Schizosaccharomyces pombe: one gene and its partners. The gene in region 1 interacts genetically with each later gene. Each region holds a gene or a part of one and is shown in the gene's direction. Other genes may lie near its edges. The genes, in order: rec8, rec11, hhp1 and sgo1.

Region 1 (5,767 bases):
ATAATTTAGAATTATAGATTCATTAATTCCTTTAACAATTAAGATGATCGGAATGTTAGTTTGTACGTTATTTGTATCGAAGATGAAGTTTAATACTTATATAGATTACAATAAACTAATCAATACTTGAAAGCAATTGTTCACTGTACGATATTGTTGAATAATTTGGCAAGAATAAGCATTTAATTTGATGATATATTTTACTTTTTCAAACTTCATGAAATACACATCGAAGTCCATAACAATTGTCATGATATAATATTGTAATTGAAGAGTATGATCAATTTACATCGGTTGACTTTGTTTCTCTTTTTAATGAGTTATCACTGTTAAGAATGCCATCATGTCATAAAAAGGATTTATGGTGTATTATGCAGTGTCTATACCATTCAATATACCCTTAGCCTGCATCAAGGCATTTAAGGAAATAAATAGTAGCAGATTTCCAATTAAGAACTTTTATTTTCTATTTTAGTGATAAAAATTCAGTTACATACCAACGTTTGACGCCGTTTGTTCAGTGTTATCAATACACCTTTGTAAATACACTGATAAAAATAGGGAGATATAACGAGACATTCACTTATAAAAATTATCAGATCAGATTATTAATCCATCCTTCGTCGCCTTTCTTATAACGAGGCGGCATATAGAAATCACCTGTTGTTCAAGTCATTCAAATCTCACATACCATTAATAGCCTTGATATGGGGAATCCAAAAAAGAGAGCAGAAAAGGCCGAAGCGGCAAAATCTAGAAAACAAGACGAGGAAAAGAAAAAAAAAGACGCTGAAGAAGACGAAAAATGGTCCAAGGGCGTCAAAACTAATAAAAAGGAGCAAGAAGCTGAAAAACGAAAAGCTGCGTTGGAGAGGAAAGCTGAACGTGAACGTTTAGAAAAAGAAGAAATGGAGAGTCTTCCATCTAAAGGAGGAAAGGGGTCAAAGAAGGCTGCAAAGAAGAATTCATCTTTAGACGCTTTCCTCAACGAAACCCCTCAGACAGCTTCATATAGTGCCCGCAATATTGATGATGCTTTGGATTTGTTAAGTTTAAACAATTCATCGTCCAAAGATAAAATTGATCGTCATCCTGAACGTCGGTTTAAAGCAGCTTTGACAGAATACAAACAATCTCGTTTGCCTGAACTACGCAAAGAACAACCGGGCCTCCGTTTAAACCAATATGAAGACATAATGTATAAAGAATTTCAGAAACATCCGGACAATCCTTTCAATAAGGTAAGAAGCGATAAGGGTACATGCATACTCTTTTTGATGATGACCATATCATGTATAAACCCTAAACAGGAAAACCATTGTAAATATCATTTTTACTAACAATTTCAGATGAATGTGAGCTATAACACTAGTCAAGATGAGGTTGAACAGCTTCGTAAAGCTCGTAAAGCAGAATTGGAAGCACGTTTACGCGAGTAACTATAGTTATGGCAATATGTTTAGAACTTTTCTTTTTCCTTTTTACTATGGTAATTCTTTTATATTATTTATAAATTATCAATAAACCAATTACTAAATAATTTTTCTCGACATTCAAAAATGAAATCTTAAATTAAACATGAGAAGTACAAAGTGATTTGGTGATACACCGGTAAATCAAAATTTACAGCTAACTTTGAATTTCTATTAGCACAAGAATGAGTGGAGCGTATACTAATTGTAGGGCACAAGTTCTATTCTAACCGCTTAATTTTTTTTTTTGTAGTAATTTTGTACTTGTTGCTTTCATTTACCCAATTATATGATATTTTTTGAACCATTAAGGAAGCCTACTGCTGAAAGCCAAACCACCTGGCAATATGGCTCTGGCAATGCTAAATCATCCGTTCCCCAACTACCCCCATCTCTTCAACACATAACCAAAAGCAGGAAATATTTATAAGACAGTTAAATTGTTTAACAATATAACTGTTATTTTATTGAATTTTGAATTTTTTCTTCTTTATTTACGCAAATGTCGAAAGTTGCTAGCGCTGCTGGAAAGGCGATTGATTGGGCTAGTGTAGCTAGCAAGCTGAAGCTTGATGCCGCAACTGCTTCTGCTATTGCTAATTTTCGCTCTCGTCATGCTCAGGCAGTTGCCAAATTGGGTACATTGCGAGAGCAGGCTACCACAGTCGACTTTGCTACCTATCGTAGTGTTTTAGCCAACAAGGAGATTGTAAATCGTATTGAGTCTTCTATGAAATCTTTTAAACCTGTGAAGATTGATTTAAATTCGCAACTCAAAGCGATCAATGCATTTGAAGCAAAAGCTAGCGAGGGTGCTAAGAAGAATGTCGAACTTGTCAAAGCTGAATTACAGAATTTGAGTGCTACATTGAAGAACATTGAACAAGCTAGGCCTACTGAAGAAATTACCATTGAGGATATGAAACAAGCAGTTCCCGAAATTGAGAAGATTGTTGAAACAATGGTTACCAAGGGCAAATGGGTCATCCCAGGCTACCGTGAAAAGTTTGGTGATTTGAGTATTATGTAGTTTGCTCCATTAATGAAACATTTTATAACTAGCAATCATATGTGTTATCAATACAAATAAATGTCAGTTGAAAGATAGATAAAATTTCGGTATTTATGAATGGTTTCAAGCAGTATGTTGAAATGTTTAACCATTATTATTAAAATTCTTTTATTGAGTTTCAAACTTCTTAGTACAACTTGAATGACTTTATTTAACCTATTATACAAACATCGTTCACAGCATAATAGTGCGTTAAAAATTTCCACGATCTTTTAATAAGCTATGTCAACTTACGTTAAGTTTTGTTATATTCGTATAATCTCTATTCGATCTAGTGGCACAATAATGAAATTGCTTGTACAATATTAACTATGGATACCTTGGTAGGAGAGCTCAAGATTGAAAGGGCACTAAAATCACATATCTTAGCTCAATTATTAATCATTAGCTTCCATTACATTGTGTTTTGACTCAATCAAAGTAATGATATTTAAATATTCAATCCTTACTTAGATTTTAATAAGACAATATATATTAGCAATGGAGACTTCACTGCAGTATACGTTGGATAACATGTGCCGAGCTGTTAAGTATTCGTTAATAACGATTTTATGTGAGATTAGCTCATATGGTTTAACAATGCGGTATTTCTATGCTTGAACTTCAAATATAATTTTGACGCGTTTAATAAGCTATCTGGTGAACTAACGCGTTCCTGTCTTTCACCATGTTTTACAATCAAGATGTTCTTACAAAGGAAAAGGGAGGAATGGGAGTAATTTGGTATAGATTTACTACAAGATAATAATAAAGCTAATAATTATAGGCTCGCTGCTACATTGGGTTCAAAACATTCATTACGCAAGCTTCACAAGAAAGACATTATGTCGGTAGATATCGATGAAGCTTGCGATTTTGTTGCCTTTTCTCCAGAACCGTTGGCACTACGATTAAGTAGTAATTTAATGATTGGTGTAACGCGTGTATGGGCCCATCAATACTCATTTTTCCATTGTATGTGATGACAGTAGTTTAGGCTGGCAATTTTCTTACTAATTATGCTTAGCCCAAGTTTCAACTCTTCATTTACGTGTTCGAAAAGAATTGGACCATTTCACTTCAAAACCGTTTAAGAATATCGATATTCAGAATGAACAAACGAAGTACGAGTACTATTGGATAATATGACAGATATTCAAATTGCTAACCTTTTAGCCCAAAGCAGTTACTACTCGCAGAAGATCCTGCATTTATCCCTGAAGTTAGTCTCTACGATGCATTTAATCTACCTTCTGTGGATCTACATGTTGACATGAGTTCTTTCACTCAACCCAAGGAAAATCCCAATATTTCAGTTCTTGAAACTCTTCCAGATTCTACTTCTTATTTGATCAATACCAGCCAAAATTATAGTTTACGAAACAATGTTTCGAGCTTTGTTTACGAGGACTCCAGAGCTTTCTCTACAGAAGAGCCCCTTGACTTTGAGTTTGATGAAAACGGGGATATCCAGGAATTGACCAAGGGCACTATAAATTCGGATCCGTCGCTACAAGCTGCTTCACAACATAGCAATCTTGGTTCCGTTCAAAGAGAATACAATAGTGAAGAACAAGAATCAAGGATTCACATGTTCGAAATCGATGAGGACGTTTTACCGTTACCCGTTCCATTGCAATCTGTTATGGATTCAGAGCATAATGAAAATGAACCGCGAGCTTTAAAAAGAAGAAAGGTCCAAAAACTGCTGGAGCCAGATGAAAACATAGAACTGTCTACTCGAACTTTGTCCCAATGGAGAAAGAATTATGTTGAACGAATGATTGCTTTGGAAGCAACAAAGTATGTTCGTCGTAGAGGAGCTTCTTCGGCAAAGAAGAAAGAATTGAACAAATTCTTTGATTGGGAATCTTTCCATCCTCTTTTAAAACCATGGATTGAAAAGCTCAAACCATCAAACAATACTCCCTCTGAAATTGACGATGTATTGAGGAACATTGATACTTCTGAAGTTGAAGTTGGACGGGATGTTCAGGGTGAATTAGGTTTAAACATACCTTGGAATACTTCATCTCGATCAAACAGTGCCATAAATTCTAAAAGCCATTCTCAAACTGGTAGTGAGCATTCCACCCCCTTGCTTGACACTAAATATAGGAAGCGCTTGCCGCATAGCCCATCGATGCCGAGTAGGGTAGAATTTCTTCCTGCCTTAGAATCAAGTCAATTTCATGAAACTCTGAACTCAGAACTTTCATTACAACTCTCTGATGACTTCGTACTATACAAAAATACTCAAGAAGAAAATGCACATTTAATGTTGAGCATGGAAAAAGAATGCGCAAACTTTTATGAGTATGCAAAAACGGCTATCTATGAAAATAATGGGCGCATAACATTTTCAAGCTTATTACCCAATGATTTAAAACGACCTGTAGTGGCCCAGGCATTTAGCCATTTACTGTGTAAGTATCACAATCAAACCACGAACTAACAAAACAATAGCACTAGCAACTAAGTCTGCATTTTTAGTTAAACAGGATAAACCATACTCTGAAATTAGTGTCTCTTTAAACCTAAAAAGCACCGATGCCATTTGAAACTTTTCACATGTTAAACTTAAAATTTTTAAAACGTTGAATTTGGGAATTAAACCCTTTGTTGAAGTTGTCAAAATAATTGACTATGTAATAACATTTAAATAGTATAGTATAACACTTTTCTTAGATTAATGAATGATAATGCTAGCGGATAAATAATTAAAATTAATTAACTACTTACCAAATTTATCTAATTATTATATCTTAAAATTGTGGTATATTATTTGTTGGCTGTTGTACATAGCATGACAGTAGCCTCTATAGTATACGAGTCTTGTTAGTCCAGCACTACAACTCAGGATAACTTTGACCATTGCAATGTTGATAAACTAGTGTTGAACTTCTCTTAATATGCCTAGAAGAAAGTCATTGAGGAGTCAACTATTAATTAACGGCATTGATAAAAGTCTGCTATCTGATGACAGCGCTGACAGTTCTGATATTGACGAAGAGGAAGTTTACGGTGTTTGGACTGAAGAGCCCTTTCAAAAAGAGGCTGGACGTTCTTATTACAGATCTTTAAAGAAAAACGATGTAATATATCGCGTTGGAGATGATATTACTGTACATGATGGAGACTCAAGCTTTTATCTGGGGGTAATTTGTAAATTGTACGAAAAAGCAATTGATAAGCATTCTGGAAAGAAATATGTTGAAGCAATTTGGTATAGTCGAGCTTATGC
Region 2 (7,408 bases), on another chromosome or scaffold:
GGCACGAATATCAACTGGTACTTGAAATTTTTGTTCCAAAAAGTAGTTTATGTTACAAGGAATTTGGGAGAATGTAGGAAATGTAGCATGTGGGATTATTCGACGAGGATTTCGAATTGTCTGACAAAATGCTTGAATTCCCTCGATATTAATCAACATGCCAAACAAAGATGATGATAATTAATAAAACAATTGTGTTAGTTTTGTTGTGGATTAAACGATGATAGAACACGTCTTAGATTGCTGAAATTATAACTTGTTGGTGTCCAATGAGTTTAGAGTTGCTAAAAAATGAATAAATGAGATAAATTACTACGTATGAATACTTAATTAAAAAACATCGAGTGGGTTTTCTCAGTTCTTAAATAGACTTGAAGTATGTAATAGGCATCTTTACTACTAAGGATGAACCACAAATGGCTGATTTTTACAAAACAATAGATGTCTGAAAGCATACTAACATACACCAGATTGAAAATACTAGACCTGTGCAAACATCGTTATACAAGGTGTGATGGACTGTCAATGATCTCCCAATAATATTTGTGAAACCAATGCAGGACGTGAAACAAATATGAAGAGAAAAGGTAAAAATAGTTATGTTATTTATAAAGTTTAAGCCTAACTACATAAAGATCAGTAGCAACAATTAGTCCAATTAACCCGTCGATCATGCCCAAAGGTCGGATGAGACGATTGTGTAAAGGTAGGACAAAATTAAATTAAAAAGGTATTAATCCAAAAAAATAAAAATGGTTTAAGGGGTATCAAAAAATAATTACAATAGAGATACCCGTAACGTTATTTAAGTATAGTAAAAGATATAGAAAACAAGATGGAAGAGGGAATTCGGAAAGATAGTTATAAAATAGACAGTAGTTCCAAGTCTCTGGGGGATAATAGGGGTGGTTTAAACGACAAACTTAGCAAACGGAGTGGAGAAAAACTACTACCTTAGGTAAGATATAAAATGCCCTCGAGTGATTGCTGTAGGAAATATTAAGACAATGATCCGTAATAATAAATATCGTAGGCTTAATAATAGCAAACTAACTCAGAATATCATTGTTAACAACTTCTGAAAGCAAACTCAAATCACACTTAGTACCCAGTTGTGAGCAAAGGCGCTAACTCGCTTCATTCTATTCTCCGAGTACTTTCGGTAAATGGCATTGTGATGGTTAGGGGCATCGACCAAACATTCCATAATGATTATGGCACACGGTTTCAATTGACGAGCCGTGTACCCACTATAATATACATGGCAAGGAGTCCAATCCAAATGACCCAACATCTGCATAGACAAGTAGTAGGCAGTAGCAGCAATGAAGCTAATATGGGCACCTATAAAAATTTCATCCATCAAGGTTACTTCTTGAAGATATTTGGCGAGCATGCGAATGTCGTGATCGTAAGAATCAGCTCGACTTATACGACGCAAAAACGACATGGGCCCTGGCCAACTAATGTCAAAATCCAAAAGCATCAGCATATAGCGCTCGGCTCTAATGATTTCGTCAACGGTGAAGATCCCTTGGACAACATGCGCAAAGTTGTAGATGCTTGGAGGGTGTATCTCTTCATACTTACAGGCAATCAGCAAAGCTGATAAACCTACCAACTGGACTTTTTGCAAAGATACGACTTTTATGGAAAGAAACCGGTCGATAAGGTTTACCGCCAAAAATAATGTCTCAGGAAGTAAACGAAAATGTATTTGAACTTGCACAATCCAATCAACAAGCATATGTCTTGTAACCCAGTCAATCTCTTGCTGAACTGACATGTAATTAGGAGGTGGAGCCAGCTTCCTTTCCAAAGATTGCATGTAGTGAAATATCTCAGGATCATAGTCTGGTACCATGGATGGATCAGTTTCTATATCCTCAGGCGATGGGTTAGCTTGTAATCGAGCAGCAGCTTCAGACAGGGCGGCTAAATCTTCCTTGGTCCACTCGGGAATTGTTGGTAGTCTATGCTTCCCGTGTGTAAGAATTCCTTCAGGTGCGTCAAAGCTGCCCTCACGGTTTTCCAAATCATCATCTCCAATAGACTTAGGAGTGGAGCGAATTGACCGTTCCTCTATCTCGACTTTGTCCTGGTATGCAAAATCCTCTTCAAAAGTGTCGCCAGTGGACGAAGAGATGGAGGATTCATTATTCCCTTCAATCAATGTTGGTTCATCTTGTTGATTGATGTTATCTACTGCCTTGAAAGGTGCACGAACACCCGTATTTAACTTGATGTGACTTTTCTTCTTCACATAAATGTGATCCTTTTGTAGCTGATTCTCATCTTGAAAATATGTTGCGTGTCTTGTTTGAGTCGAAACGTCCATTAGTAAACCAGCACACACTTGTTTAGAAAGTTTTGGACATGCGATGAAAGTCGGTTTTCAAACTGCCTTTTACTCAGGTAGGAACCCTAGTCTTCTCTTTGGAAAAGATCCTTAAAAATTTAGATGCTTTTCGACTTCTAAAAATTCGAAAAAATGACTCTACACCCAAATATATGAAGATACTATTGAACGAAGGATTCGAGGAAAGTAATCTTTTGGATTGACCAGAAAGATTAGTACTACAACAGTACAAGAACTAAAAATCTCAAATGAAACCAACGAACAAGAGTATTAACCAAAAGTTGGAGTAGGACTTTGCAAAGGAATACCGAGCTACTACTAATGAGAAAAAGGAGTTGGTGGGTTCTCAAAAGGGGTCAGGGAAAAGCCCGAAATTCCGAGTAAAAACGCGTTCTTATTCATAAATTAGTTACTTTATGTTTCAAAAGTAAAACTTTAATAAATTATTATATACTTGATTGCAATGGTTGTATGTGAACTGCAAAATAATTAATGACTGACTGACGCGACTCGTGTCACGTAAACAAACCCATCGTTTCTGTTAGATTAATCTTTGCCATAACCAACCACCATCGTACCAATTAATTGAGTGATTTCAATGAGATTCGAATTTGAATCAGATGCAAGCAGTCATCTCAATGAAGTCCTTACTGAATTAGAAAGCGTGGAGCTTGAAAATGTTGAATATGAAGGTCCAAGTTTACAGAATGTCAGCATTTGTGCCTCGCCCTCAGAAAAAAAGCGGAAATGGGGAACACAAGATGAATTTTCTTTGACGGAGAATGAAGAAAATAATGAAATAGAGACGAATGAAGAGATGCACGTAAATTCTCATGATTATGCCTTTCCACAAGAATTTTTTCGTAAGTTTGCTTGCTTATAAGAGAAAAAAAGTCTTCGATAATATATTCTAACAAGCATACGAAAAGTCAAACTGTTGGATATAGATATGCCGCTCGAGCAACTTTCTCAACATTATTTTGAAGACTATAAAAGTAATAGCGCTGACTTCATGCTGACCTTTATAAATTTCGCATTAGTTGTAAGTTTAGCAGGAATGATCCGCGACGTTTTCTAGCTTTTGCTGTTTTGTTTACTCTTCCTTTGAAACGTAAACTAATTCATAGGCCTCTGGTTGTCAACCCTTCGTTACGAACTTTGATGTACAGGACGTAGATTCAATTCCTGAAACATTGTCTCAGGTCAATCGTTCAAGTTTTCAAAAGGTGTGTGCATCATCTTTTTGTAATATTTACTTACCATACATATCGCTAGTCTTCTTGCGCTTATACTGATTATCTTTATACTTCTAACTCTAAAGAAGCTAAAACGGTGCGTATTCGTTTTCAGCTTTTTTTGGTCGAATTCATCAGTAAAGTTTACGTGGAAGACGCATTCCTCGGAGACTCATTCATGGAAACTACAAAAGCTTGGATTTTTACCATGACGACAAGTCCTTGGATGCTTGTTAGACATACTGCAACAACTATTTGCTGTGATATCATGCGATGCTTATGCCTTATAGTAAACAAACTTTCCGAAAAATCAAATCAAACTGCGGAAATTCTGGTACTGAGAGACTTAACATCTAGGTTCATTGACATGATTCACGACATTTGTGATAGGTTGGCAATACTACTTTTCTTAACGACTCTAACCTTTTTACTAGTGTACTATTCTCAAGGATTCATGATATACGTGCAAGCATTCGTATAGTGTGTGTTACTGCTCTATATGATTGTTGCCAATTGCTTCCCACCTATCTTATAAACAGAAATTTGATTAGACATTCTGGCTGGGGGTTATCTGATGCAGTAAGTGTATAAACAATCGCTACTGCTGTATCATTTAAATACTAACTGAACGTATAGGAATCACAAATCCGAAAAATCTCCTTAAAAATAATAGATTATCTTTCTTCTCATGAACCTGAAAAAGATCAAGATTTTGTGGTTGATTTTCTTGACAGATTCTCGTTAAGAATTGTGGAGATATGTCGGTACGATATTGATTCTGTTCGATCTGTTGCCCTCAAGACATGCGAGAAACTGATGGAGAAAATATCGTTGAATGGAAAATGTATCAATATTGTTTCTAGCTGCATATTTGACGGGAAGCCCCAGAATCGAATCTCGACAATGCGAATCCTCGTTGCCCATACTAATGAACGCTACGCAAATTATTGTGAAGCAAAGACTGCAACAATCAGCTTATCAAAGCTCTTAAGGCGTGAAAAAATCCCATTGTTAGTTTCCAGCTTTGAAAGCCTATTCAAAATGAATGCGTTATTATTCATACTTGAGCAAGGATTTGAATCTTGGTTCCGTGATAGCAGCGATCACATCTTTTCGCGTGTGAAAGACGATGACAAATTTGTATATCAGTCGCAGGAGAATAACTTTTATGATGCGGATTTCATACGAGAATATGATATGAATAATCATAGGCAGCAATTAATTGAGGAAAGCATGCATTCCATTCATACAAACTCACAATTACTTGCCAGTTGGGAGGATGTTGCAAAGCTCTTGCTTTATGATCGCTTTGATGCAAAAGATACTAACAGTGTCTTAAACCCCTGTATACCGAGCAACGCAGTGATAGAATTTTCTTCTATCTATCTCCATTATTTTGCAACACATATTAGCAAAAGAGTAAGTTATTTAAAGCTTCATATTACTAAACCTCTAGTCGAAGAAGCCAGGTAAAAGACTTGAAGATGAGGTCGTAAACCAACAGCAAGCAATGTTACGAAACCTTCCATTACTATTACAGAAATACAGAGAATCTTGTGTTTCATCATACTTTTTTATAAAATGCGTAGAGCAAATTCCTGACGAGCTTCTTTATAAGAGAGAATTTCATAAGGACTTTTCAAAGTTGTATAAAGAAATACTGGATATATTTAATTCAACTACCGTTAACTTCCTGATGATTTTGTGCAGCAGATTCTTCCACCGATTGGCGGTCAACAAAGTTGTACAGGAAGATATATTATTTGCCATTGACAATGTATATAATGATTTAGCAGAAAGTTTACACGAGCAACTCAATGCATACATTCAAAGAAAAAAAATAAACAAAAAAAATCAGTTGAATGGCAATGAGTAAGGATTTTTCTTTTTGTTATTAGATTGCTAACTTTACAAGTGAAACGCAAAACTTGGTTTTAGCTTTAAATAAGTTTGGATGCTTTGCAAAGGAAATGGTCTGTCTGCGAGACGTCAATGATTGGAACATTAAACTGTCAGAAAAATTATGCGAAATTTGTAGTCTTGAAGTCGGTCCTATCGTCTGTTATTCTTCTTTGAAAGTTTTATTTCTTCTTCTGCTTTCTGATATGAGAGATAGAAACTGTATTTTTACAAATATATTTTTAAAAGCAGCTAAGGTTGCGAAGCAAAAAAATGGAAACTCCTTTTTAAGCAAAGTTTTCGTAAGTCTCTAATGTTGCTGTCTATCTATCTTTTATGACTGTTGATTTCAATCACATTTAGTGGAGTAAAATGCTAACTATAAGCAGATTACAATTACGATGCTTACATTGTTTCTTGGATCAAAGGCAAATAATTGGGATATAAATTTTAGTGACGATGACTTGAAATTGATGAATGAAGAAGAAATCATGGAACAAATTGAAACTTTTAAAGCATGGTCAATGAAATTTAAAGAGAAATCATCTGGAAACCCTTCTTACTTTTTTTCACCCGAAGATACTGAGGAGAAGGAATTATGGAATAATCTGTTTGAGGATTGGTATCCCAATCGTGCTAGAGATCCTGGAACACTGAGTCATTTAGTGAAAGGTTTAAAAGAAACAGCTGACCATTTATCATAAAACGAAATTTTAACACTAATTAAACCCCGAGGGAAAAGAGATAAGAAAGCACATGTGCTAACTTTCTTATTGAGGCAAGGAAACTTATTAAACAAAAGGAAAAGACATTAAACTCTATTATGTATTTCCTATATGATTATTCCAACGAAACTAACTCAAAAATACCTCAATTTCAAATACTCAATTTTAATTAAACCCTGAAGAGTGGGAGCTCGTGTGCTCGCTAAAACTACAATGCATGCCATTTCTTTCTTTCCAGCCCTTTGTCTATATATGAGTTTTCTTAGGACTTACTGGTTAATCAAAAGGTACGCCTTATGTTACTAAGCAATAGAAAATGTTTTTGAGGGATGCATAAATTAAGTTTAAAAAAACAAGACATTAAGATGTTTAACATATCAATTAATTTTATTTGATTTCAATAAAATTGATAATTATTTGACACTTTAAAATAATTTGGTGGTGCTACAAGTTATGTAGGCAATAGTTGATCGTAGGCAAGTTGGATTCAACCAACACCTTTTTGTGCAAGGTATTGTAAAAAAGGGTTGACTTCATCTCATTAAGTTAGTTTGAGTCAAAGAATATATTTGAGGAAAGACTCGGCTTCAATATCAATTTTTTTTTCGATAAAAAAGTGTACTGGCTAAGAATTGAATTACTTGACAGAATACCGAAATGTCGACTTCTTTTGCTTGCACGACTTGTACTGTGGCTTTCAATAATGCAGAATCACAGAAAATACATTGGAAGTCTGACTGGCATCATTATAATCTGAAGAGAAAGGTTGCTAGCTTGCCGCCGTTGAGTGCTGAGGTGTTTGCTGGAAAGATTTTGTCCATTCAAAAGCAGAACGAGGAAGTCCAGAAAAAAGCAGAATTTTATCAAAACTGTGAAGTATGTAATAAAAAGTTTTATTCAGAAGGCGCCTATTCATCACATATGGCTTCGAAGAAGCATCGCGATAACTTGAGCAAATTTCAAAGAAACAGCCGTATTAAGAAACTTCAAAGTGAAGATGCAAGTAGTATTGCTTCTTCAACCTTGTCAATGGGTGAACCTGTAGTTGATAGCGAAATTGAGGAAGAAGAAGATTTAGCTTCACAACTGACATCAAGGGCGATATCCCTTTCCAACTTATCTCTTCATGGTCGAGAAAGTGAACCCTCTAAAACTGAATTGGCTACTTCCATACCTCAATCGAACGAAGC
Region 3 (6,092 bases), 710 kb from region 1:
ACATTCAATTCCTTCCGATGAATTAAATTCAAATAGTAGCAAATCGCTCAACAATGATCGTATCAGCCGGACAATAGAAAATTCTCTACAAAAAGAAACAAATAGCGATAACAAAATTAAGAAATTATCCAAAACAAAAAGTAATCCCACTAATCCCAAAAGTGAAGAAGACCCCAGTCAAATATGCCAATCCTTTGACGAAAGTAATATAATTACACCATCTAAATACCTCTTTCCTCTATCAAAAGACTACTCCCCGAACGAGGGATTGTTTCAAACCGACATGAATGAGAAAAATCCTCATGATTTATGGAACCCAACGGTTCCCATGGCTTACCTTTCTCGATCTTTACAAGGCCTTACCATTTCAAAAATTAATGAAACAGAACAAAAATTCCCTTTGAGCTCTGTCCATGCTTACGTTGAAATCGGAGAAGGTATGTTTTCAATGGAAATCGTTACTGAACAATTGCGTCTATTGGGCGCAACTGTTCATGCGTCTTTACAAATGACCGAGGAAAATCCCGTTTCTCACGCAGTACTCTACGACTGCTCACAAGAAACTCTCAAGAAAATTAGTTCTGCTCAAGTCCCAATCGTTTGTGTATCTCCTAAATGGGTTTTGGCTTGTTACTCATCTAAGTATTTAGTCGACGAGGAAATGTACTTAGTTGATCCTCAAGATATACTGCAAACTAAATGTTTACAGACTGATGACTCGGAGTTGCTGAATCCTCTTGATCCTTTCACTGACACGCAAATGATTCAGGACCCTTCTGATGCCTTCTTTTTCGATACTCAAGCAGAAAATTTAGAACCATTCGTTAATGGGTCTCCTGATTCTCATTGTTTTAATGCCGACTCATTCTTGGATCAAACTTTGTCCGATGATTATGAGTTTGGTCTCATTACTTGCAGTGATTCTAATGAGTCATCTATGTCCAATGACGCTCAACGAGAAAATAATCCAGAAACCATTTCTCAAATATCGCTATCTCCAACGGCTGATCTATTTTCGTCTTTCAAAATTACGACGGATTTAGAGATGACTCATTTAGAGTCTGCCAAAAAGAAGTATCTAGCTTACAAACCGTTAATTGGCTCTCCACTAAAAAAGAAGGTTAGTCTTATAGATTTCTAAGTGCCTTGTCTTTCTATTTCATTACTCTCTTTCATTTACAAGTTTAATTCCGCACTGCTCATTGTACATATTGTTAGATCAGTGTTTTGCGTGTTTTTCCCCTTTCTTTTATCCTGCCCATTGTCAGTTTATTTTATTTTATTTTATTCTATTCGCTCAGTCGTCACAATCCTGACCCAAATTATTTATAATCTCAATGGAGAATTAGTCAACTCTTATTTAGAACAGAAAAATGCCTTGCATTTTTCGCTTTTCTTATGTAAAGAACTACAATATTAAATTTCCGAAAAAGGTTTTCTTATTGTTTTAAAATGTTCTTTCATTTTATTTTTTCGCACTCCAATATTCGGTTGGAGGTCTTTTTCGCTTCAACTGGAAAGACAGTGTATCTTACAGCTTTTATTTTCGTCTGAGAACCCGAATTTTCTCTATCTTTTTAGATCATTCGTTTACTGGGGCTCAAATATTATTAGATTTTGTATATAGATTACAAGGAAGAGTCTGTTATAAAGGACACATTTTATTAGCCTTTTATTCTTAGTGTTAATAAACCATACCTTACATTTTACATTTTTCAGTAAATGGTAATTGATAAAATAGAAACCAAGAAAAGCATCACGCTCCCATTCTAAAAATAGATATTGGATGTACGAATGTATGTAGGTATGTTTTATTTACATTCATCGTAAACTATCAATATTCGCAAATTCACTATCTATTATAATTTAATCGCATAGCGAATTTTTTTTGTATTATAATTTATTATCGTTATTTTGATAAAGCAATGCTAACTCTCGTTATGTTTACTTTAAGTTCTTTACTTCTACGTTACCTAACTTGCTCTACTTTTTCGAACCCCTACTTTTACCTCAACCACATCATTCAATTTCAATCTATAGTATATTGGAGAGAAAAAGCGAGTGCCTTTAGCCTTAAAAGCGTTATAATATTATTATGGCTTTGGACCTCCGGATTGGGAACAAGTATCGCATTGGTCGTAAAATTGGCAGTGGATCTTTCGGAGACATTTATCTTGGGACTAATGTCGTTTCTGGTGAAGAGGTCGCTATCAAGCTAGAATCAACTCGTGCTAAACACCCTCAATTGGAGTATGAATACAGAGTTTATCGCATTTTGTCAGGAGGGGTCGGAATCCCGTTTGTTCGTTGGTTCGGTGTAGAATGTGATTACAACGCTATGGTGATGGATTTATTGGGTCCTTCGTTGGAAGACTTGTTTAATTTTTGCAATCGAAAGTTTTCTTTGAAAACAGTTCTTCTCCTTGCGGACCAGCTCATTTCTCGAATTGAATTCATTCATTCAAAATCTTTTCTTCATCGTGATATTAAGCCTGATAACTTTTTAATGGGAATAGGTAAAAGAGGAAATCAAGTTAACATAATTGATTTCGGATTGGCTAAGAAGTATCGTGATCACAAAACTCACCTGCACATTCCTTATCGCGAGAACAAGAATCTTACAGGTACTGCACGCTATGCTAGCATCAATACTCATTTAGGTATTGAACAATCCCGCCGTGATGACCTCGAATCTTTAGGTTATGTGCTCGTCTACTTTTGTCGTGGTAGCCTGCCTTGGCAGGGATTGAAGGCTACCACGAAAAAGCAAAAGTATGAAAAGATTATGGAGAAGAAGATCTCTACGCCTACAGAGGTCTTATGTCGGGGATTCCCTCAGGAGTTCTCAATTTATCTCAATTACACGAGATCTTTACGTTTCGATGACAAACCTGATTACGCCTACCTTCGCAAGCTTTTCCGAGATCTTTTTTGTCGGCAATCTTATGAGTTTGACTATATGTTTGATTGGACCTTGAAGAGAAAGGTATGAGATATCTTGGTAATAGTGCTTTTTTTATTTTCTGGGTTTCCGAGTTATTGAAAACCAATGTAATATGATATTTTATGAAGTTTACATAGTCACATTTACTAACATTTAAATTGTAGACTCAACAAGACCAACAACATCAGCAGCAATTACAGCAACAACTGTCTGCAACTCCTCAAGCTATTAATCCGCCGCCAGAGAGGTCTTCATTTAGAAATTATCAAAAACAAAACTTTGATGAAAAAGGCGGAGACATTAATACAACCGTTCCTGTTATAAATGATCCATCTGCAACCGGAGCTCAATATATCAACAGACCTAATTGATTAGCCTTTCATATTATTATTATATAGCATGGGCACATTATTTTTATATTTTCTTCTCATCTGGAGTCTTCCAATACTTGCCTTTTATCCTCCAGACGTCCTTTAATTTTGTTGATAGCGCAGGGCTTTTTCCTTGGGATGGCGAAAGTTACTTTGCTTATAGTTTATTGAGGGTTCATAGCTTATTTGGCTGAAGATCTTGTGTTGACTTAAATTCTATGCTAACCTCATGATCATATCCTCATTATGGCAAGTTTTGGTGAAAAATTTTTTAATATTAGTACATTTGCTAATAATACATTTGGTATTTGTTTTTACTACCTGTGAATCTATTCATACATTATCATATATGTTTCGAGCCAGGAACAGAAAAAAGTGAGAGAATTTTCTGCAGAAATGATCATAATTTTATCTTCGCTTAACACGAATCCTGGTGACAGATTATGCGTGGTTTAAAGCCTTTTTTTTACGACGCCATAAGCAAATTGGTTACTTTTTTATGTGTGATGAGCCTTGGGGTTTAATCTAATTAGAAGGCATTGCATTCATATACTTTTAATAATATATTATCAGCTATTTGCTGCTTTTCTTTATAGATACCGTCTTTTCCAAGCTGAACTCATTTAATCAGCGTCGTTTAACCTTAGGATGCTTAAGATGCGTTTAAATTCAATGACTTAATGCTCGAGGGATGAATGGTTTGTTTTAGTTCGTGTTCTGGGTGCATGATCTCGTGCTTGACTGTTTTATTGAAGCGTTCATTTCATGAAGTGTCTTTCGATGTTGTTCACACTTCTGTTTGCTAAATATAATAAATATTTTGCTTTTCATTTTAGTTTGTAAACATACTTGAAAAAACTAGAAAGGTGTTGTTTGTAAGTTTTTGAATTATCAATAAGATGAATTTAGAATGATGACACCTACTTCAAAATCAACAAGCATAAATGAAATAGAAATAAATTGTCTTTACTTACTATCTATTTGGTGTAGTTCTCTTCTACAGCAAGTTTTCATAGTTCACTTCGTTTGGCAAGAAATCATTATCACCGCTATACTTCACCGCCAACCACTACGAACTATTATTGCCAGTTTCAATAACGATAAATTTAAGCAAGCATCAATTTTCATTAATTTCATCGATTATATATATTAATCGTTTTCTTTTTTAAAACCATTTCTCTCTGCTTCAACTCACATGACCTATTCATAATATACACTCACTTGACCAGAGTTTATCGAAATAAATACGAAACTTGTGCACCAGGGGCTAGGAACGAATATTTTTGTTAGGTTCTTTCTTCTATCTTTTATTCAAGTAAGCTGCTATGGACAGAAAGGCGAATGCCTATTCTAAAAGCGTTGAGTTGTTATCGAGGCTTGAGGGTTGTCCCTCAGAAAAAGTTCTGTTAGAAGAGTTACGAAAATTGAGGGGGTTCATTCGAAATGATATTCCCAGTAATTTTTTTCCACAACTCTTTATTACTGACAATGGCTTTGCAGCCATTAAGAAGGCTGTCACTAAGCTAAACTTTCAATCGTTACTAAGTCTTGATATTTTTGAATGCTGCTTGCAAATATTAGGAATTGCAACTTCTTATACTATCTTGCGTTCTTGGTTACTATCCAGAAAACATATTGAGGCATGGATTGAGCTCGCTATTCGAAGAATGTTTTATTCATTCTGTGCTATACAGGATGATTCCAATATTTCCATTTATGCAATAGGTACTTCTTCCAAGACAGATTCTTCTATTCAAGCTGCTTCTCCTAATGAAGATTTAAAGTCAGAAGGGGCGCAAGAGATTGATTCCCAATCGGAGACAGTTTCAATATCTTCTGACGTTGATTATGATGAAGATCGTAAGGATTTAAAGAAGGCCAAGATATGTAGTGCATATTACCTAAAAACTAGGCTACTTCTGGCTGTTTTGTCTTTTGCCCAAAACGATAGTACTTTTTCGCTTTTGAAGCTTGTACCTTCTTTGCAAGATAATACCAATGCATCTCTTGTTGAGTTATCTCGCGTAGTGGAAGCTGCAATACAGAAGCTTTCCATCAAACCGCTAGCTTTCCCTAATGTTTTACCCCAAGTCCTTCTTCTCTGTCCTTCTATCTCCATTTTCAATCTTATCCTACTTCACCTTCGTGCACTTATTCGTTCTTCTCCTGAAAACGCTATTAAAATTGGTTATTCCAAAACTATGCATTTCCTTTTAACATACCTTTTCGAGCCTCCCACTTCTTTTCCATTGTCGGATGTTTCGAAAGATTTGCTCAATGAGATCACATTACATTGTGCCACTTTTGGAGTGTCGAATGCTTCTACTGCAAAGGTTTTACGTACATATTTGAAAACCAAGTCTGAATTCCTTCGAACATGGTTATTAAAAGCTCTTTCCCACCTTGTTGCACCATCTTTTTATTTTAATCCTTCGACAAAAGGTTACTCTTCTATTGATTTTACGCTGAGCTCTCCTGTAATGCCAATTAATGGATATTCTGTTTCCCTTTGGTTAAACATTGAGTCTCTAATGAACGATGATGGCAATTATGCCCCAACTACCCTTTTTCTCATCTCTGATTTTTTGAAATCAACCCTTTTTCGCTTACTACTTGATGCATCCAAAAAGACTGTAGTTGTTCATATTGGCTCAAGTAAAGATACCTGTGTAGTTAACTTTTCAACTCCTATTACCAATTTTTTTTCCAAAATTTACAAAGATAATCCTAGTCTAAATCCACCTTCGTGGCATTTGATTACCTTAGTCCATCGTAAC
Region 4 (4,694 bases), 1.6 Mb from region 1:
TGATGGGGTTTATGATTGGATGTTATTGAATGACGGTAAAGGTTGGGAGTCAAGCTCTTCTCATTTTTCTGTTGTTGCTATGAAGCGACGAAAGAATTACCTTGGCTTAAATGTTGTTCAAAATGATGATTCCAGAAAAAAGAACAGTACTTTGCAAACACAGAACATGCGATTTAAATCCTCATATGGGGTGAGAGGTCCTAGAAATTACTCATCGTTCGATGCGTTGCCGAGCAAAAACGCTCCATTGGTGCGTCAAGAACAGTCTGCTTCTAAAAAAACAATTTATGCTCATTCTTCTAGAGGTTACGATAGGGTTCGACCTATGTATGTATCTCAGCCCTCGAATAATGCAGTCGGAGTAAATCATCCTAACGATAATTCTGATTCGGAAGCAAAAGGAGGATTTTTTGATATGATATGCTGTCGTTGCTTTTCTTAGTTTCGAAGCTTCAACTATTGTTAGAGTCACTCACTTTCTTAACTTAAATAAGTGTTGTTCTACTATGCGGTAGATATGCTTTCACAATATCAATCATTTGATGATTTGGTTTTCAGAGTACGGGATAAATGGTTCATCTTTTTTTAATATTAATTTGAGAAACGCTGTATAGCGTCTTTGAGCGGGTGCTTAAATCAAATTCTTTAATTATTTCGATTGCAAATTTGCTGGCACTAGCCTACTTTGCTGGTTCTCGTTTAATCTTTTAATGTTGCTTTCCTTTAACATAACTCAATATTGTCTTAAAACTGACATTGTACTATTGTAGTAAATAATATATACATACACATATATAACCAAACCATATGTATTCTAGGTACTAACAATTGGTAAAATGACAACGGAAGCTAATTCGTTTTCAATTACAAATAAATAGAATAAAAGAAAGGAATTCTTTTTATACTGATTCGTGTAATATATTTTTTAGCTGGACATTCAAAAAATAAACTATACGTGTCTTAAAGTATTTGAACTGGACAAATGCCATATGATTTATTGGAAACTAGGTAATTTCTTTTGAGTAATGGTAAATCCCTTTTTAGTAAAGGAAACAATCAGCAACAAATAAAGAAAAAATTTTGACTTATTGGGTTATAATTACTGCAGCGTATACCTAATATGCTGTATACGACCTCTTCAAAAACTAACGCTAAAATCTGTCAAACCATAGTATGTAATTTTTATTTTTTTTTCTCTATGGCGTAGATATAATTTCGTATCAAGACTGTAGACTTGAAGTTTTAACCCAAGTTTTATCAGGTGTTAAATAGATCTCCCTTTTCTAACTTCTTAGTGCGTGCACATGCATGTGCATGTGTGTTAAACGATTTGAGTCTAAAATTGACAAGAGCGGCTTCGAAATATGATATCTAATAGCTCCATTGAGGATAGAATTAATAAAAATGAAGCATATATAGCCAAGTTTTTTGAAATGTGTGTGTAATTATAAGAATTTCTGTGTTTGTCGCCTGAAGTTTTAAAATTTAAAGTGAATGATTTATGAGTTTACTTACTAACTTTATTAGATTTTCTAAAAATGATAAAATTCGCTTCCATGGAGTCTCACTTGACCGAAAAGCACTTGACTCGTTTATGGTTAGAAACAATTTTAAAAAAAGGTTCGTATCTGGTATTAACCTACCCATTTTAATACGATTACATTTTTATAAGAAACTCTTTACCATTTTATGGCTAACAGTTAGAACGGTCGCTTTGTTATCTCATGCTAGAAACATACAATGTCTAATTCAGGAATCCGATGGCGATGCTAAAGACGTTGCTCGTTCCATTTATATTACTACGGCTGAGTTTCGGAATTATTTGTTGACTGAAAAAGGGTTTTACGTTACGACCAGGAGCATTTCACATTTTCGAGCAATATTAGACAGCATAAGATACCCTTTTGGAAAAGACCATGCTAGCAAGAACATGGAGCTTTTACCTATAGTAAGTTTTACATAAATTTTAAGCGGACTACTATGTAAGGGATCTTATCCAAAAGACGTATCTGCAATTTTTAGGGTTGATAATGTTATACCTTTGCATGTAGTTAAATTCAACGTTCGTTGATATAATATGCCAATGTTTAACACGTTTTCTTAATGATGCATACTAACCGACTACTTACTTAGACTTACGATCTCAGTTTTTGTACTGTTTTTCATGGTTATCTCACCAGTATACTGGAAGCTTATGAATTCTTTAGAGGTGTTTTCAAAAAGTATAAAGCTCCCTTGTCCTCTAACTTTATAGCAATAGGAAAGACCACGGACGAATCTAATTTCTCACAATTGCATCATTATTTCCAAAAGTTTGATGAAAGAATTCGTCGAATATTACATTTAATCTCTCAGGAGTTGGATGGATATTGTCGGATAGCGAAGCAGTAATTAATTTTATGTTCTTTTTATCAATTTTTATTCAGGATATGGGCTGCATTAAGTCGTACAACCATCTTTCATCTAATTTATTATATACTAATTTACATTGATTTGGCAAGTTCCTTAAAGAAAAGAGCCTTTCTCAATATGACAAGACTTTAGTTTGCGATTGTTTACCTTACACTTAACAGGTTTGTTTACATCAGCAAGTCCTTAATTGCTTTTCGCAAAAAAAGCTTTAAAAAAGCTATGAACTTTCAATTTATAAATTCAAATATAAACAATGAAGATAAATTGCCGATGGAGTCGTTGAAAAAGAAATTTTTAAAACAAAATCGTGAAATTATAAAGTAAGGTCAAAGTACACCATTTTTGAATCCCTTGTGGTAAATAATAAACATCTAACTTTCAGAATAAATACTCAGCTTTCTATAAAAATTAGAGAATCTGAAAACGAAATTCAAGATTTGATACAAGAAAATTTCACTTTGAAAAGTTATTTGGTTAAACTTGAAGCTCGATTTCGCAATCAATCTCAAACTGAGGACTTGTTAAAAAACTTCTTTCCTGAGATACAAACCATTCACAAAAAGATTTCACAAGTGCAAAGTTTACTGAAGATTATAGAGAAAAAGTGTTCATCAGATTTCCTCGAAGCGAATGTAAAAAGTCAATTTACAACCTGTGAAAATAAAGATTCGAAAGAAGATTATCAGATTTTGCATAATAAACGCTTGGAGTATGTATCATTTAATGATGAACTTAAAAGTCTCGAAACAGGGCAACCATTGTATTGTTTTCAAGATTTCCAAAAAAAAGTCCATGGTCCTCCGGCTCTATCTGAAAAACCTGGAAAATGTATATTAAAAGATAAAACCAATGCCCACGTAAACAAAATACCACAAGATGAGGTGAATTACTCATTGCCGCAAAAAAATATCACCATCTTTTCAAAGGAATTAAAAGAAAACGAATTTGAATCCATCAACGAGGGCGAAACTGAAGAAGAAAAGGCTAAAACATCAAATGTTTGTGTTTGTATTCCTTGTAAAAGTGCTGAACAGATAACTGACCTTAAAGGACAAGCAACCGGAGACAGCTCCCCATGTGATTTTGAAGAATCTCAACCAAGGATTAATGGACGTGAAAAACTAAGACGATCAGTCAAAGTGATAAACTATGCAATACCCAGTTTGCGAACTAAACTACGACGAGACTTTGACTTACCATCTGATAGAAAACGCAAACGACATCCCAGAGGCAAAGCATAAATTATATTGAGGTCACATTGTTAAATATTTTCACATTTATAGCACAGCTAATTTATAATTTAATCTACTGCAAGCAACATTTAAATTCAAGAGAAAAACAAAAAATAATAGAGGAAGAAAAAAAGAACCTAATCAAGGCTCATTTCTTTTACATAAACACATAATTAATCGGCCAATAAATACAAACCAACATTTAAACATAAGCTAAAAAAGTATGGAGACTTAGCCATTTAAGAAAAAGAAAAGAAAAAGGGCGTTAGATATTCTTTAAATAACCGTCATTAAAAAAAATCCAAATCAAAGCGTATTCGTATCGTTTCATATATATTTTTTATTTTGCTTTGGGTAAAACAAAAATCTCAAATAAGAGAGGAAAAAACCAAAAGGAAGGAATCTAAACTTCCCGGGAGCTTAATAGTAAGAACGGAAAACCTCCTCTTGGTTAACTTTGGGATGATCTGAAGGTCTAGGAGTAGCTTCGTAAATGGTTACAACAGGATCACCCTTGAAGGGAACAAAAGAACCACGAAGACCAATGTAGGCGATTTGTGTAGGATCATCAGAACCGTCGCTTTTGGTGAAGAAGATATTGAGATTTTGAAGGTTTTGATAGAGACGAGTCTTAACAGGAAACTCGAAGATATGGCTTCCTTCAAAAGTCAAGGGAAATTCAAATGTTTCAGTGGCTTGGACATCACCGATTGTGTCAAAATCCAAGTCGGTACGATTGGGAAAAAGTGAAAAGGAGTGTGGAGCGGTTTCATTAGGAAAAATGCGAACCAAAATTGATTTTAGTGTTGCCGCACCTGCAAACGGTACCTGAAACAAGAGTTGGTCATCAGCATCACTTTCTACGATATCAGTGTCATCATAACGAAGGTCCCAAGGTTTGAAGACGAGTTTTCCGGAATCTGGTACAGCTTCATTCAGCGTAACAATTGATTCCTTTCGGATGCAAGAATACAAGGTATCATTTGGACCAGACTCAAACGGATGTTCATCACAGTCAGCGGAACAATGGTGAGGGCCAGACATTTAGTA

The links.
Region 2: of rec8 (region 1) and rec11, changing one enhances a phenotype caused by changing the other (phenotypic enhancement), as found in Schizosaccharomyces pombe (one study listed by BioGRID).
Region 3: of rec8 (region 1) and hhp1, extra expression of one impairs growth in a mutant of the other (dosage growth defect), as found in Schizosaccharomyces pombe (one study listed by BioGRID).
Region 4: of rec8 (region 1) and sgo1, extra expression of one is lethal in a mutant of the other (dosage lethality), as found in Schizosaccharomyces pombe (2 studies listed by BioGRID, with this or other methods).

What each region holds. Positions count from the first base shown.
Region 1 is NC_003423.3:2,565,727-2,571,493, forward strand, and holds rec8 (meiotic cohesin complex kleisin subunit Rec8), read left to right. Parts: upstream 1-3,211; coding exon 3,212-3,267; intron 3,268-3,276; exon of another isoform or gene 3,277-3,310; coding exon 3,311-3,498; exon of another isoform or gene 3,499-3,550; coding exon 3,551-3,647; exon of another isoform or gene 3,648-3,699; coding exon 3,700-4,949; exon of another isoform or gene 4,950-4,989; coding exon 4,990-5,084; 3' UTR 5,085-5,267; downstream 5,268-5,767. Other genes in the region: oxidative stress transcription coactivator/ribosome recycling protein Oxs1, read left to right, coding at 708-1,241, 1,350-1,439; atp7 (F0-ATPase subunit D), read left to right, coding at 1,975-2,502; origin recognition complex subunit Orc1, read left to right, coding at 5,436-5,767. UniProt on the Schizosaccharomyces pombe protein: Involved primarily in the early steps of meiotic recombination. Required to ensure reductional chromosome segregation.
Region 2 is NC_003421.2:1,222,475-1,229,882, reverse strand, and holds rec11 (meiotic cohesin complex STAG protein Rec11), read left to right. Parts: upstream 1-2,914; 5' UTR 2,915-2,957; coding exon 2,958-3,222; exon of another isoform or gene 3,223-3,288; coding exon 3,289-3,401; intron 3,402-3,416; exon of another isoform or gene 3,417-3,486; coding exon 3,487-3,585; exon of another isoform or gene 3,586-3,634; coding exon 3,635-3,984; intron 3,985-4,028; coding exon 4,029-4,173; exon of another isoform or gene 4,174-4,230; coding exon 4,231-5,013; exon of another isoform or gene 5,014-5,050; coding exon 5,051-5,466; intron 5,467-5,509; coding exon 5,510-5,795; intron 5,796-5,882; coding exon 5,883-6,197; 3' UTR 6,198-6,575; downstream 6,576-7,408. Other genes in the region: cardiolipin synthase PGP phosphatase domain-containing Gep4, read right to left, coding at 1-159; G1/S-specific B-type cyclin Cig1, read right to left, coding at 1,091-2,338; rei1 (ribosome biogenesis protein), read left to right, coding at 6,876-7,408.
Region 3 is NC_003423.3:1,852,812-1,858,903, reverse strand, and holds hhp1 (serine/threonine protein kinase (CK1 family) Hhp1), read left to right. Parts: upstream 1-1,993; 5' UTR 1,994-2,095; coding exon 2,096-2,986; intron 2,987-3,108; coding exon 3,109-3,315; 3' UTR 3,316-4,231; downstream 4,232-6,092. Other genes in the region: mug176 (BRCT domain protein), read left to right, coding at 1-1,141; lvs1 (beige protein 1), read left to right, coding at 4,641-6,092. UniProt on the Schizosaccharomyces pombe protein: Involved in DNA repair. Has a probable role in repairing alkylated DNA and may regulate the activity of protein(s) involved in double strand break repair caused by gamma rays.
Region 4 is NC_003423.3:966,705-971,398, reverse strand, and holds sgo1 (shugoshin Sgo1), read left to right. Parts: upstream 1-2,631; coding exon 2,632-2,732; exon of another isoform or gene 2,733-2,794; coding exon 2,795-3,653; 3' UTR 3,654-3,663; downstream 3,664-4,694. Other genes in the region: serine/threonine protein kinase (CK1 family) Cki2, read left to right, coding at 1-442; SPOM_SPBP35G2.04C (uncharacterized protein), read left to right, coding at 1,365-1,435, 1,528-1,948, 2,134-2,391; poteasome interacting protein Txc1, read right to left, coding at 4,065-4,688.